Tamandua tetradactyla: one gene and its partner. The protein of the gene in region 1 interacts with the protein of each later gene in a pairwise test. Links are inferred from orthologs where the notes say so. Each region holds a gene or a part of one and is shown in the gene's direction. Other genes may lie near its edges. The genes, in order: FAM114A1 and RAB2B.

Region 1 (8,612 bases):
AAGTTGAGCCTGTTCTCTGATTTTTTACTTACATCTTATTGCCTTCTTCTCTTTGGCTTTGTCTCAATTGTTAATGACATAAAAGTCAGTTTTTAATAGGTCATAAGTGGGAATTTGTGCACCCATGGAGAACTTTTCCAGCTTGCTCCAAATGTCAGTGGCAGACTGGCTAATGAAACAGGTGCCCAGAAAAATTTGGCTTTCCCAGTAATCCAAGCTTACATTATTAGTAAACTTCTTTAGGGCTCCCACTAGCCTCCCTTGGAACAGAGCCAGGTTTTCCTTTTTCTCCTGAGTAATTTCCCTTAGTTTATTGTAATTAACTGGGTTGGAGGTACATTTTCTTATGCCTTTTAGCAATGAAGTTTTCTGTTTTTTTGTTTTTTGGGGGTGCATGGTCCAGGAATCAAATCTGGGTCTCCACATAAAAGGTGAGCATTCTACCACTGGAATCACCCATGCACCCACGAGCAAATTTTTAAAAGGGGATCATTAAAGAAGATTTTTTCCTCTAATGGAAATTGAGACATGGGGATAACACAAGCAACAAGTTCTTTTCAGCTCCTTGTCTTGATAGAGAGCCAGAGATAGGAAATTTCTGACTACTTTCTCTGTCTTTTATAGACTGAAGGATGCTGTGCTGGTTTGAAAGTGTTGTGACCCCAGAAAGCAATCTAATCAAAAGGTTACAGAAACAATTGGGCATGTTACATCTTCATGTAAACAAACTAAAATTTCCACCCCACAATATTGAATCAGGATTAAAGGACATGGCTTTTCTGGGGTTCAACTCAAAAAGGTTGCTCTCAATTTAAAAGCAATTTCCACTTACCATTCCCTCCCTCCCCTTCATGTTAAAATAATGTTCTCGTATTAGTCTAAATATATGTATATATAATTCATTATTAGCTTAAAATTTTTTTATTTGTAAAAAGAAATTTTAAAAAATACAGTTACTATGGCTAAGGATTTTAAGTGGAATTGGGAAGTTATTATGCAGGTCTCAGCCAGATATCACAAACTACCGCATTATGTAAAGCCTCAGGCAACAGTGTTCCTCAAAACCCTAAAGGCACCTTGACTCTTGAAGATGATTGTATAACTATACAGCTCTTACATTGTGACTGTGTGATTGTGAAAACCTTGTGGCTGATGTACCCTTTAAGGACAGATGAGTAAGAACATAAGGACAAAAAATAAATAAATAATGGGGGGATAAGAGATTTAAAAAAAGTTGGATAGATTGAAATACTAGCGGTTCATGAAAGGGAAGAGTAAGGGGTATTGGATGTATGAGTTTCTTCTGTATTTTTTTTTTTTTGGCACGGGCAGGTACTGGGAATCGAACCCAGGTCTCTGGCATGGCAGCCACTGATTGTATATTTTGGATAGACTGTGCACAAGGATATCTCAATAAAAATATATTTTTTAGAAAAACCCTAAGGGCATCCGGACATCATAAACAAACACAAGATAAAGAACTCAATAAATTATCTAACCTGAAGGACATCTGGAAGACTCTAAATTATCCACCAACCTAACAACTTATTTAATCTTCTTGTTTTTCTTTAAAAGCTCTTGCCTGGAAGTGCCAAAACAGGACATGATTTGGATTTCTACCTTAATCTGTGCTCTTCAAAATGCAATTTTTTTCTTGGTTACTTAGCCATAGGCATATTTAAATAAAATACTAATTGTAAAGCCTGTTTGTACAATGTTTCTAAACAAATTTAAAATTAAAGCAAGGAAGACATCTACAGATAAAGATATCAGAGTTCCTGAAATTCTAAATATTAAACACACTATCTTAAATACCAATTTATTAACTTTCAAACTGTGTACACTCTCATAATATCAAGCAGAAAGTTATTAAAATAGCAACTTTGCTACAGTAGTGACCTATGTAACTAAACATTTTCAAATTTTAGATTTCAGGAATTTATTTTATCTAATATTACTATAGCTGCCTATAGTTTTTTTAAACCATTTTTTGTTATAAAAAGCAAAGAAAGAAAAATACAATAATTTTCAAAGCACACTTCAATAAGCAGCTACAGAACAGGTCCCAGAGTCTGTCATGGGCCACCATGCCCTCAACTCAGATTTTTCCTTCTAGCTGCTCCAAAACACTGGAGGCTTTACTAGAGTCATAATAACAAAATTATACAGTATCTGTCCTTTTGTGTCTGACTTATTTCATTTAGCATTATGTCCTCAAGGTTCATCCACGTTGTCATAGGTTTCGGGACAACATTTTGTCTAAACGCTGCATAATATTCCATTGTATGTGTTTTAGTTTGCTAGTTGCTGGAATGCAATATACCAGAAACAGAACAGCTCTTAAAAGGGGGAATTTATTAAGTTGCAAGTTTACTGTTCTAAGGCCATGCAAGTCTATAAAAATGTCCAAATTAAGAAGCCAACAAGTGGTCATCTTCACTCAAAAAAGGCCAATGTTCAGGGTTTCTCTCTCAACTGGAAAGGCATGTGGCGAACACGGTGCATCGGTTAGCTTTCTCTCCAAGCTTCTAGTTTCATGAAGCTCCCTGGGGGCCATGTCCCTTCTTCATCTCCATAGGTCCCTTGCTGTGTGGGTTATGTGGCTCTTTTTGAAATGGTTCCCATCTAAAGAGCTCCAGTAAGCAACCCCACCTTGAAAGGATGGAGACACACCTCCATGGAAATCATTTAATCTAAAGTTTGCCCACTATTGGGTGGGTCATACCTCCATGAATAATTTAAAACTGCCACCCAGCAATACTGAGTGAGGACTAGAGGACATAGCTTTTCTGGGGTCCACAAATTCATACCGGCACAGTATGCATACACTATATTTGGTTTATCCACTCGTCTGTTGATGGGCACCTGTATGGTTTCCATCTCTTGGCAATTGTGAATAGAGCCACTATGAACATCAGTGTGCAAATCTCTGTTCATGTCACTGTCCTCAAGTCTTCTTGGTATATACCAAGTATTGGTATTGCCAGGTCATAGGGCAACTCAATATTTAGTTTTCTGAGGAAACACCAACTGACTTAAACAGCAGCTGAACTATTATACATTCCCACCAGCAATGCATAAGTATTTCAATTTCTCCACATCCTCTCCAACATTTATAGTTTCCTGTTTGTTCTATAACAGCCATTTTTATAGGTGTGAGGCGGTATCTCATTGCATCTCCCTTGTAGCCAATGAAGATGAGCAGCTCTTCGTATGCTTTTTAGCCATCTGTATTCGCTCTTCAGAAAAGTATCTATTCATATCCTCTGTCCATTTATTTATTGGGTTGTTTGTTCTTCTGTTGTTGAGCTGTATAATGCCTTTATGTACACAGGATATCAAGCCTTTATCTGATTTGTGGTTTCGAAATATTTTCTCCCATTGAGTTGGCTGCCTCTTCACCTTTTTAACAAAATTCTTTGAGGCACAGAAGCTCTTGATCTTAAGGAGTTCCCAACTGCCTATTTTTTCTCTCATTGCTTGTGCTTTAGGCATAGTTTAAGAAGCTACCTACTATTACTAGATCTTGAAGATTTTTCCTTACATTTTCTTCTAGAACTTTAATAATACTGACTCTTACATTCAGTTCTTTAATTCATTTTGAATTAATTTTTGTATAGGGTGTAAGGTAGGGGTCCTCTTTCATTCTTTTGTAAGACCCCAAATAAGCACCTTTGTCACCTGCAGGCTTGTTTATTTCTCTATTGACATATTCTATACCGAAATATAAAGAAGGAACTAGAAATGGCCTGTTGCCTTTCAATAGGGAGATGACTAAATAAATTGTGATACAAAACATATTATGACATACAATGCAAGCATTAGAAGGATATTTTTTATTGATATGTATTATTCAAGAAATATAATACATAATAAATCAGTAAAAACAATTAACAAAATACATCAATATCTTGTCATTTTTATAAACACCAAACAAAACAATTGTATACGTATAAATGTATATCAACTTAGAAAAACTGGTAGGAGCCACACACAATTAAAAATGAAAGTAATATTTACAGGGAAAGAGTAAAGCTATTACCATTAAAAATGCTTTTAAATTATTGCAATTGGCATGTATTACATTCATCTTTTTTTTTTAAAGAGGATGTGGGACAGGAGAAAAACAAATTCACCTTATACACATCACTCAGAAAGAACCACTATTTTTTCGTGTTTGTTTGATGTTTTGTATGCTGTGTGGCAGGGTCACATTTCATTCTTTTCCCATGTGAGTATCCCGTTATTGCAGCACCATTTGTTGAATTTTTTGTTTGTTTTGTTTTATGGGAAGTGCATGGATGGGCAATGCAACCCGGGTCTCCTGCACGGCAGGCGAGAATTCTACCACTGACGTACCCTCGCACCCCCCACCACTGTTTTCTGAAATTATATTTTTACTTACTTTTATATAAATATACACATACATATATATTAACCAAAAAACAGATACAAATTCTACATACACTTTTAGAAAGTGCTTCTTTTTTCCCATGGGCAGGCACAGGGAACCAAACCCAGGTCTCCAGCATGGCAGGTGAGAATTCTGCCACCGAGCCACCATCGCAACGCCCCCTACACTTTTATAATCCCCTCCTCCCCTCCACACATACACACTTAATGTTCGGCTACGGCCTTCCTCCCATATCCACAAATACAGATGTTCAATTATAATTTTTAGTGGCTGCAGCATATTAGACTGTTTTGAGTAGCTATAGTTTAGTTCCCCTTATTATGAGACATTTTGTTTTCCCTGTTAAAGACCACAATAACATAAGTATTCGCACATTTCGTCTGTATACTTAGGACAAATTCCCAGGTGTGGAATTCCTGGGCCAAAGCTAATGCATTTGAATTTTGCTCCACATTTCCAAACTGACCTTCTAGAAAGTTTGTTATTGAGTGTAATCAGATTACACTCCCACCGACGGAGGAAGGGAGAGGAACTGTTTCATGCAGAATCGGAAGATGACAAACTCTCGCTGAATTGGGCAACCCCTTCCCGGTGAGGCTGCCTCCGGGGTTTTCCCCGCGCTTAAAAGGATGGCAAGGGATCGGCGACCCCTGAGGCCCTCCAGGGATAAGGCGAGCGTCCCTCCGGCCCTCCCCGCAGGCGCAGTGCTGGGAACTGCAGTTTCCCAGGGAGGGTCGGGAAGCAGGACCCGAGACCAGACCAGCCTAGAGAGTTAGGATGCCCGAGCGACCCGGCCAGCGCTCCCTGGCTGGGGTGGGGCGCACGTCCAGAATCTGGCCCCCTCCAGCGCCAACCGGGCGCGGGGCGGGGCAGCTCGTCCCGCCCTCCTCTCCCCTCGCGGGCCCGCCCTCCGGCCGCGTCCCCGCCGGCCCTGCAGACGTGGCGGGGCGGGACCCGCCCGGCCCTCCCGCGCGCACTCGGCCGCCTGAGCGGTAAGAGCCCCGGGAAACTCTCTCTCCATCCCCTTCCCCGGGCGGGCGGGTGGAATGAGGGGCAGCCCGCTGCGGGGTGGTGGGGAGACCTGCCGTTGCTTCTGGTCGGTGATCCCCGAACCCAGGCCGCTGCGCTGTTAAAACGCCATCCGCAGGCGCGGGACCACGGGAGGATCGGGCTTGGGAGTGAAGGTCCGGGGAGGCGCGAGCGGCGCGGCCGAGGGCCCTGCGTGGGTGCGGGCGTGTGAGTGTGTGTGTGTGAGTGTGTGTCGCTCCGAGTCCACGCTCATGCACACACCCACACGCCCGCACGCCGGGTCTGCCCCCTCGGCCGGCGGCCGCCAGCATCAGAACCTCTGCGGTGGAGCTTACCTTTGCTTCCAAAAGTATCCAGTCGTGGCACCAAGCAAGTCTGAAAAAGTTTCCCCAGTATCCCAGGTTGAAGGTAGAAGCAGACAGCAGAGTCTCCGTAGCTCGCTCGGAGCACGGAGGTGGCTGGTCCCGGAAAGGCAAAGGCCTCCATCCCGGAGTGTGCCTGGCCTTGGCCGCGGGAAGCGAGGTCGGTCCTTGACCTTCCACCCTAGCTCACCACTCCGCCCCCTGCAGACCCACGCCCCGGCCTGCTCTTGCACCCCAGCTAACACCTTAGGCTGACACCACCTCTATTCACAGTCCTGGGTTTGGGTTCAAGTCCCCACCCCAACCCCAAGCCCCACCTCCACCCAATCATCTCGACTACCCTGGAATCTGGTGAGTATTTCTAGCTGCCCCAGATCCGGGTGCCTGGAGTGTACTGGCTTTTCCTAGAATAAAAAGACATCCCTTTGTATGGGCTATGAGGACATCATCTGTCCCCTATCATCCTGAGGTTCCCATCCTGTACTTCTTGAAGAGAGGCAAGCAGGTGGCTTTTAGACTAAATGTATAATGAACTTCGTAGGAAATCAGTCAACCTAGGTTACAGAGAATGAGACAGGCTTTATGCTCAGCAGCCTCTCTCCCTCTTTTCCCCCAGTGGCCCCATTCCTACCCCATCCACATGCCCATGGTCTCTCCTGTCTTTCTGCCATCAAACTCTGAGAATCTGATAAACTTCTTACTTTGTAAGCTTGATGCAAAAAGAATAAAACTTTAATGGTGGAATTTGAAGCGCAGTGCAGAAGTGATTTGACAGTAATAGGGAGACTTCTAAACCACCAGGATTGAGACCATGTAAGTAGCCATTTATTTATGAGACTGGACCTATGGCAAACATTGTTTCTCTTGAATCAGTATCAAACACAATGTATTTCATTCAGGAAATATTTGAGGGTCAGATTCTAGGCTAGGTGTGGATTGGGTCACAACCCTGGAGGAAAGACAGATGTAAAAACAAGTACTTCTTGTAAATGTAGCAGGAGAAGTCTGTGCAGACAACCCATAGAAGAGGGAGCAATTAATTATTTGGAAGGAGCAGGGCAGATTAAGGGAAATGTCAGAGGAAAAGGTGACGTCAGACTTTTAGAGATGATTAAGAATTTGCCAGGCACTTGGAAGCAGGGTAGCCCAGGCAGAGGAGACTGCCTAAGCAGTGAAAAGGAGGTGTGAAGGCCTACAAGCAGGGTAGAAAATGAAGAAAAGTCTGGTGAGACAAAAGTGTAGGGTGTGTTGCGAGTGGCAGGGGGTAGACAGAGAGGTCAGGGCTGGATTATGAGGGACCACGGAGGCCGTGGGGAGATATTTGGAACTAATGGCTTTTAAACAGGGAAGCAATAGAGCCCACCTATGTTTCAGAAAAAAAGAGGCTGGACTGGAGGAAAAGTCTGAGACCTGGGACTGTGTACTTATTAAGCATCCTAGGAACTCTTACAACCTGAATTTAAAACCTGCCATCTAGAGTTCTTATCCCTGTCCTTCACAGACTAGCCTTCTTTTTAGTTGGGGGAGAGGGTCTTAAATAGGACATTGCATTACCAAATTTTTATTTTGCCAAGTAAGGCCATTAAAAAAAAAAATCCATCCACTGCCATCACCATTTCATAAAAGAAAAGACATTCTCATACCAAGAAAAGCGTGAAGGCCAGACTTTACATGAAGGCAGTCCTTTACATTTAATAAATTTAGACTTATGGAAAATAATGCTATCTTTTGTCTTCATTTTGCTCTCTCACCCTGGACCAGCCCCTTCCTGTGGGCTGGCATTCGGGAACCATGTCTCCAGATCATTTTGTCCAATATCCTTGCTTTACAGAGGAAATAGTGGGAAGCCCAGCTATGAATGAGATCCATGCTCACGAAGGGGTGGAGGGAAGAGAGACCACAGTTCTTGACCCCCAGGGCAGGGTTCTCCCCACCTCAGCATATTGTCCCTCCCGCCCCACAGAATTTCTCTGTGTTCTCTTGGCCCAGCCACACTGATGTCCGTCCTAACTATCTAGAATACATTCCAAACGCTGGGAATTTGCACATGCTCTTCTTCTACCCTACCTGGAAATAACCATATCAAAGCCACATCAAGGTCCTCCCTTGCATAAGGTCTGTCGAATTCAGGCACAATTTTCCCTATTTTGATGTGCTGTTTTGCATCCTTATTTAACTATTATTTAGCTCCTCAAGCAGAGTCATCAATTTTTGAAGCATAGTGACCATGTCTTCTGTTTAAACTTGTTTTGGGAGCTGTGATGCTGCTGCTTCAATACTTCACATAGTTCTGGAAGCAATTTAGGTGATGAATGAATTTACTCATGAAAGCTATTCCTAGCCCCACAAAGGCTTCTTTATGCTCCATCCTTCCTTTCCTTGGAGTTTACTGAAGAAGCCTCCTTGTTTCTGTGGATTGAGTCTCCCTTGCATCAAAGCCATGGGACATGGCTGTAATGATCAGTGTTCTAAACCGAAAATCAGGAGAGGTTTATGAGACGTCAGACTGTGCTTATGGGGCACTTAGGCAGAGATGGGGATGGTCCCAGGAAACACAGAGCGTGACAGGGCTGACGTCCTGGTAGGCTTTTTAGTCCTTGCTCAGAAACAGCTGTGTATTTAGGACACATGTTCTCTAATGGCTTGCGACAAAAGTGCACAGTCTTAAAAATAATTACGTTTCTCTAGTCATAATAATGCCCAGAGTAGATAAGAGACCAACCGGAACAAACAAAAAGATTTTTTTTTCTTTCGGTTTTAATTTAGGAAAAAAGGTAGACCTATTACAGGTAGAAGTACGTATAATA
Region 2 (8,023 bases), on another chromosome or scaffold:
TGTGAGCATTTATCAGGAAAGCAGGTACAAAGATTTTTACCAGATTCTCAAGCAAGTAAACAAATAAAAAGTTATGGGAACAGCAAAAAAAGGATTTGGGGAAACATTTATTGACTAGGCTAATAACTGTGAACAGCAGTTTTGAATTTTTTTAGACTGCTTTGGTGAAGCAAAAGATGCCTATCTTTTTCTGCTTACCATAACAAATAAAAAACCAAATCTGCTGATATATGAAAAGTGATACTATTTGTTAATAAGAGCTCAATAAAGAATTAAAATTCACGTCCAAAACAAGAGATTACTGTGCTACAAGAGACCACCCCTCATAAACCATCTGGTGTGCTCTCGAGGACATTAAAAAATCAGACTTACAGAGATTCTATTGTCTCAGACCAAAAGGGTATTCTCCCTATGCATTACCCCAAGATGTGGAAAGAGGTTTGTTATTCAGTATGTATAGTTTAATGACAATTTTTGTTTTGAAAATTTGGTTTTAAGTATGAATAGCAAAATAACTACAATGATCAAGAATAAAAATAAATCATGCTATAATAAAAGCATGCTATAATAAAAACGGTCAGTCAGTTTCTTTCACCACCACAAATGATTTGTAAGTTTAGGGTAAAATCCAATAATGACAAAACTTATTTTAGTTTTGTGGATCTATTACCACAGATGTGACAACATCACACTCTAGACTGTTAAAAACAAAACAAACCTAAGTTGTAGCAAATATTAAAGTAAAAATGAACGGTGTGGATACAGAAACAGAAAACAAGAATATGATGCAGATACTTGCTCACTCAGTTTCCCTTTCCTTCTCTATTAAAGGCCTTCTCAGGGCCTTTTTGAGAGAGGGAACAAGATGGGAATTACAGTTTATAAGCAAGAATACTTAGATATTGAGAGAACCAGAAAGTTTTAAAGTACCATATCCATTCTTTTACTCATTCTGCAATACCACAATACACGATCCAGTATTTCTTTAAAGAGTTTTCTTGTATAGGTTATTCATTGCAAGGAAATGCATTTTAATCCAACACCTACTTATTGAGTTGTTCACTGATACTACGGTCATTAAAATGACCTTAAGAAATGAAATATTTATAGTAATGAAACTTCTATACCGACGAAATCATGAACATGATCTAGAGCTATAAGTACTTTCCCAATCAAGGATAGGTATCTTGATGTCTTATTTTCCCAAAGTGGTCAAAGCCTGGTATCATTATGTAAGAGCCAACTTGAATGAGAGAAATACAAAGATTAAATTCCCTTCCAATCATAGAGCTTCCCATCACAAGAAATGCTGTTATAAATACTAAGCCTTCATCTCTGGAGACCTACTATTTTGAAATTATTATTCCTTATTTCATTGAGGTACAACATATGTAAAGCACACAAATTTTAAGTGTATAGCCCAAATCATTACCAACTAGATAAAAAATACAGGATATTTTCATCACTGTAATTCCTCATGTCCCTTTCCAGTCAATACTCTGCTTCACAAGAAGTACCACTCTTCTGATTTCTACCACAATGGTTTAGCTGTGCTTATTCTTAAACCTCATTAAAAAATGAACTCATATAGTGTTCATATAGCTTCTGTGTGGTTTCTTTCATGCAACAATATATTTTTTAGATCATCCAAGTTATTGCATTAATTAGCAGTTTGCTCTTTTTTATTGCTGTGCAGTTATTGCTTTTTATAAATGTACTAGTTTATCTATTTTTCTGCTGATAGATATTTGGGTTGTTTCTGGTGTTTAGCTATTATGAATAGAGTTGCTGTGAACATTCCTATACATGTTTTTGGTGAATATATGTGCATATATTCTTTTGCATATAAACCAACGAGTGCTATTCCTGAGTCACAGGGTAGGCATATTTTTATCCTAAAGAGATACTGTCAGTTTTCCAAAGTGGTTAAACCAATCCACACTCTGAACAACTATGACTGAATTATCCATACTCTTGACAACTCTTAGTTTGTCAATCCTTTCATTTTAACTAACTTGGTAGGAATACAAGGGCATGTAACTATGATTTTAATTTGTATTTTCCAGATGAGTGATGATGGCACTTTTTTCATATGCATATGACTATTTGGATATCCTTTTTTGTGAGGTTCCTGTTTTCAAATCTTGCCCATTTTTAATTAGATTATTTATTTTGCTCTGCAGGAGTACCTGATACATTCAGAATATGAGTCAGATAAATGTACTGTAAATATCTCCCAATCTGTATACTGCCAGTTTACTTTCTTAATGATATCTTTTGATGAAAAGATGTTCCCAATTTCAATGAAGTCCAACTTTCCAATGTTTCCTTTTACACTTAATACTTTTTGTGGACAGCTACCCTTTACGTGTACGAAAATTTAAAAATTACTCTACTTCTAAATAATTAAAAAAAATATTACCTTTACCTACAAAAAACACAAGCGAATCAAAATAAAAGTTAAAAACAAAAAAGAGGGGAAGGAAAGAGGTAGAAGTTGTAATGAGAAAAGGGAAAACAGTTAACAATTCTGTATACCATAGGAAGCTACAGAAGTTGACCCTAAAACTTACTTTTAAAAGGAGCTTCTTGGCAAAACAGGTTTTGTTATTAAAAAAACAACAACAACAACAACAAAAAAAACAAACCCACACACAATAAACAGATTCAAACTCGGAGTTTCTTGACATTGTAAAAAGGAGCCACCTCTCATGTAGTTTATAGATTACTTGACTTCATTTAAGAGGCAAAAGATTAAGAATGGTGGGTAAATAGAAAGCATTCATATTTAGTTTTTGAAATGCACTTTTGCATGGACGTGACCAATGTGAAATTTACAAATACTCCAAATAATGAAATTTATACTGTACAGAACTGATTCTGGGAAAAACTGGTACTGAAAGAGACTGCAAAGCACCAAACAGATCCTTAGCTTTATATCACTTCTAAATTTGGTGTATCTTTGATTCATACTTTCCTCTGCTTAGGAGAAGTATAATAAATGACAACAGCAATAAAGAAGTTAAAAAACTAGCAATGGTCCCTTGTCAATCTAATTCTCATCCAGGAGAATTTTAGGATTTATTATAGGATAAGTCCACACAAAAAAGCAACTGAGAATTCTTGGTACCAAAACAAATGCCTTGTACTGCTTTTGAAAAAAAAATTTTAAATCCTCAAAAGACAGTAGATGGCTTTCGACTTCACACTCACAGGGAAGTAGAAATTTATTTTTAACTGTTTCATATTTCTCTTTTGCCTGGCCTAGGCAAGTAATACATATCCATGTTACGACAATATTTAAACCAAAACTTTTCCACAAATACTAAAGGACCTCACCATAACCATTACTTCTACTTCACAACATCATAAGCAACTATTAATACAACCATTTGATAGATGGGAAAACTGTGACATAACAAAGGCGAAGTAATCTGCTCAATCTCTGAGTCACCCACAAGCAGAAACACATGTTCTACTTAACTCCATTCATGTCCTTTGGTACCTCTTTCCTTTCCTCCGGTCATCAGCAAAACATGGTGACGCCATCTACATAAACATAATTACTAATTTTGCTGTTGCTGTTGTTACTGAATAGGAAGTTTAAATGAAAGAAAGGCCCCTTCAACAGAGTTCGTTTCAAGGATGAACATATGTCCACATTTAATCCATTAGGTAAGTTCATATCCTCATTTCAGCTTCTTTAACAAAAACATTTTCTTCCTGCTGTTATCCCTCAAGACGGTTGTAGCTATTTCCTCCCTACGAAAGGAGACTATTCCACTGTCTTCCAACTCAGTATCAATCTCCTCCTCAAACAGATCATCGCTTTCCAACGTCCTATTTTTCTGATGACAGCAGCTTCCGGGACCCTCCCCAGATAGTCCTCAGAGGTTCGAGAAACAGCTACCACTTTTCCCTAAACACCAAACGCGGACCCTGATTCCCAGCCCCGGGTCCCCCGCGTCAGCGCTCTCCCGCCCCCACCCTACCACCACCGCTGCCTCCGGCCCTCCCCTCACCCCCCACCCCCCGCAGCGTCATCAGCTCGTGCTCACCTCGGCCCCTGACAGGAAGGGGTGCGAGGGCCCTGTGATCGTCAGGTAATTGTCATTTCCTCCGGGAAACTGGAAACCAAAAGAAAGCCGCGGGGATAAGTTAGGGGGCGGGTAGGGAGTCAGCTGGGAGCGACGGATTCTGACCCCGACCTTCTGACAACACTCCCCAAACCCTGCTGTCTCTCTCCTCCCGGGTCAGCCGCCTCTCCTCCCGGCTTCCCTCCTCTGCTTTATTCAAACCCGTGGGCCACGTTCTCTCGTCAGCCTTCTCAGCGTTCCAGTTCCTACCTCCATCTTCACACAACCGCTACCACCGTCTCAGTCCCCTCATCGCTCCTACCGCCCCCACCAGACTCGGAACTTCCGTCACTTCCGTAATGAAGAACATCATTCTCCACTGATTGGAAGGTGAACAGCAGGGCCGCAGCGAGTCAGGCCCGCAAGGCCGAGGGTAGGTATCGCCCCCTGGAGCTTGGTAGGATAATAGCACTTAGAGGAGCTAAACGCGTCCCTGGAGGCGGCGCCGGGGTATAACCACCGTCCCAAACCGAGAGAGGATTTCTGGGAAGAGCAATAGAGATGTGATCAAGGCTAGAGGGGCGAGAGTTGGGGGGGGGGGGGGGTGCGGAAAATAAGGAGATCGGTAGATTGAGCCGTTAGAGAGGCCGTAGGTAAGTTGCTATAGAAATCGGGCGGACCCGGAATCCAGAGGAATTGGGACCATGACTTATGCTTATCTCTTCAAGTACATTATCATCGGGGACACAGGTAAACCGCGGGTTGACCGCTTTTGAGGCTGGGGCGTGGTTCCTAAATTCCCAAATCGGGTCGCGAAGGCGGGGCTCATTTAATAGTTCGGGTAACTCCAAGAGCTGGCGGGGGCGGGGCGAAGCGGGCGGGACTCGGGGCTCCCCCTCCCGGGTTCTCAAAGCCCACACAGGGACTGCGTGATTGCGATAACGCGCTTCGTCCTCTTTCAGGTGTGGGCAAATCATGTCTCCTTTTGCAATTTACCGACAAGCGGTTCCAGCCTGTCCACGACCTCACAATCGGTAAGTGCATTTACCTGTCCGAGAACAGCTCAAGTGAAAAGTTAGCAGCCTTCAATGCTCAAAGTAAAAATACTTCCTATTTTATGATAGAACAAAGTTATAGTTAATGAATTAAAACAAGCACTGATAAATGAGGAGTGTAATGGGGTAGAAATAATTGGACGTTAACTTGACCGATGAATGTGAGATACGGGATTGGTTGCCTCAGGATTTTTTTTTAAAACTCAATTTGTATGTTTATGGAAAATCCCACGAAAGCATAACTGCTGATTCAAGAGCTCATCTGCTTGGCGGTACATTATTACTAACCTCACATATGTTTCTCAAAGTAATCACCATTATATGGATTTTTTTGTATGTTGGAGAGGAAGAAGCATAAAAAAGGCAGATTAAACTGATAACTTTCCTTTTAAAGGAAAGAGTATGATAGAATTCCAAAAACAAACTGGTGGAAACCTACGACCTCCAGATGGGTCCCTAGACCAGATGAGTCCTAAAATGTGGAGGGGCCAGCCTCTCCAGAGCATGAACTAGCCCTAACCATATTATTGACAGCCCTTTCCAACATGAAAAAGTTAAAATGGGCATAACCCAAATACCCCTAAAGAGTGGGAGAAAGAACAAAGGTGATGGTGGAGTTATACAAAGAAGGTAGAGTTTAACATATGCCTATGATTGCTGAATCATTATATTGATATTACTTTTAGTCTCCAATGTCTTGGAGCAGCTAGTAGTAAAAACCTAAAATTGTGAAATTGGAACTCATGCCAAACTCTGAAATCTGTTTTACAACTAATTGTTGTGATGTACTTTGAAATTTATTCCTTTTTTGTATATATGTTAGTTTTCACAAAAAAAGAAAAAAATAGTCGATTGTGATGATAAATGCACAGCTTTATGATGATATTGTGAACCATTGATTGTACACTTTGGATGATTACACAGTATGTGAATATATAATATGTACCAATAAAAACAAAACAAAACAAAACCTGGTGATCTTCGAAAGTATAAACATCCCACACTCATTTGTTGCAAGGCATGGCTTAGAGGAGTTTTAGCATCCCACTTCCCGTACTCTCCATAATCCCATCCCTGATTAAAACAAAGCAAAACAAAACACTTAAACTTCTTGCTGTAAAAATGCAGTCTCTACATAAAAGTCCTAGCTTCCCATTTTCACCATATAGCCACTTCTAAATCCTACCAGTATAGAAATCTTTCCCAAAGGATTATTCAAAGCCAAATAACTGAGGGTTAGAAAAGTGTTTACCAGATAGAAGCAACAGGTTTTTTTTTTTTCCTTAATGAATTTTAGCTGAATACTGATGTGTCATATACTAAGGATACATGCTTAGCAAGGTAACATCATGTCTGCCCTTCAGTAGCTTATAGCCTTCCTTGCAAGAATGGAGATGGGAATTGGGGCAGATACTGGTAAGCAAATTCCCCTTACAAAAGGGGAAGCCAAGGTTGCCGCCTCTGTCAACAAATGCTGAAACTTGAAGAATGAGCAGAAGTTAGCCAGGCAGAGGGATTATGGATATAATAATTTTTTTTTTAAGAAAAGTGACTAGGTTAGAGAATGTTCAGAAGTTCAGGGATGGCAGAGATCAGGCTACTTGTGAAAGCTTGAGTACTTCAATATGACTGGAGCATGGAGTTTGAAATGGAGAGTGGTGAGAAATAAAACTAGAAAAAAAAATTAGATCCCAAATTTTCGAACTCTTGAAGCAGTAGAGAACAAGTGACAGGTTTTAAAGTATAGTAGTAAAATGATCAATCACGTTTTCCCAGAGTCCAATAAAGGCTGTGTTTCTTGTTGAGTTCAGTCCTCTCTACCAAGACAAACAAGGCAGTAGAATAGAAAACATATACCACGGACATTTGCACACCAATGTTTATAGCAGCGTTATTTACAATTGCAAAGAGATGGAAACAGCCAAAATGTCCATCAACAGACGAGTGGCTAAACAAACTGTGGTATATACATACGATGGAATATTATGCAGCTTTAAGACAGGATAAACTTATGAAGCATGTAATAACATGGATGGACCTAGAGAACATTATGCTGAGTGAGTCTAGCCAAAAACTAAAGGACAAATACTGTATGGTCCCACTGATGTGAACCGACATTCGAGAATAAACTTGGAATATGTCATTGGTAACAGAGTCCAGCAGGAGTTAGAAACAGGGTAAGATAATGGGTAATTGGAGCTGAAGGGATACAGACTGTGCAACAGGACTAGATACAAAAACTCAAAAATGGACAGCACAATAATACCTAATTGTAAAGTAATCATGTTAAAACACTGAATGAAGCTGCATCTGAGCTATAGGTTTTTTTTTTTGTTGTTGTTGTTTTGTTTTTTGTTTGTTTTTGTCTGTCTGGTTGTTTTTGTTTTTGTTTTTTACTATTATTATTACTTTTATTTTTTTCTCTATATTAACATTCTATATCTTTTTCTGTTGTGTTGCTAGTTCTTCTAAACCGATGCAAATGTACTAAGAAACGATGATCATGCATCTATGTGATGATGTTAAGAATTACTGATTGCATATGTAGAATGGTATGATTTCTAAAAAAAAAAAAAAGAGTCAGGTGCCTAGGATGTAATGGAGAGGCTGGAGGGAAGTGCCTGAAAATGCAGAGCTGTGTTCCAGTAGCCATGTTTCTTGAGGATGATTGTATAATGGTACAGCTGTCACAGTGTTACTGTGTGATTGTGAAAACCTTGTGTCTGATGCTTCTTTTATCTGCCTTGTCAACAGATGAGTAGAACATACCGAATAAAAATAAATAATAGGTGGAACAAATGTTAAAATAAATTTAAGTTTGAAATGCTAGTGATCAATGAAAGGGAGAGGTAAGGGGTATGGTATGTAAAATTCTTTTTTTCTTTTTCTGTT

What was found.
Region 2: the proteins of FAM114A1 (region 1) and RAB2B interact in binary tests that used the Homo sapiens proteins (3 or more experiments, as listed by UniProt). The two-hybrid records come from large-scale screens. The link is inferred for Tamandua tetradactyla from reciprocal best matches to the Homo sapiens genes FAM114A1 and RAB2B.

What each region holds. Positions count from the first base shown.
Region 1 is NC_135345.1:40,516,850-40,525,461, forward strand, and holds the start of FAM114A1 (protein NOXP20), read left to right. Parts: upstream 1-5,324; 5' UTR 5,325-5,406; intron 5,407-5,778; exon of another isoform or gene 5,779-6,042; intron 6,043-8,612. UniProt on the Homo sapiens protein: May play a role in neuronal cell development.
Region 2 is NC_135340.1:34,968,343-34,976,365, forward strand, and holds the start of RAB2B (ras-related protein Rab-2B), read left to right. Parts: upstream 1-4,651; 5' UTR 4,652-4,780; coding exon 4,781-4,826; intron 4,827-5,038; coding exon 5,039-5,110; intron 5,111-8,023. Other genes in the region: TOX4 (TOX high mobility group box family member 4), read right to left, coding at 4,059-4,127, 4,347-4,352. UniProt on the Homo sapiens protein: The small GTPases Rab are key regulators of intracellular membrane trafficking, from the formation of transport vesicles to their fusion with membranes. Rabs cycle between active GTP-bound and inactive GDP-bound states.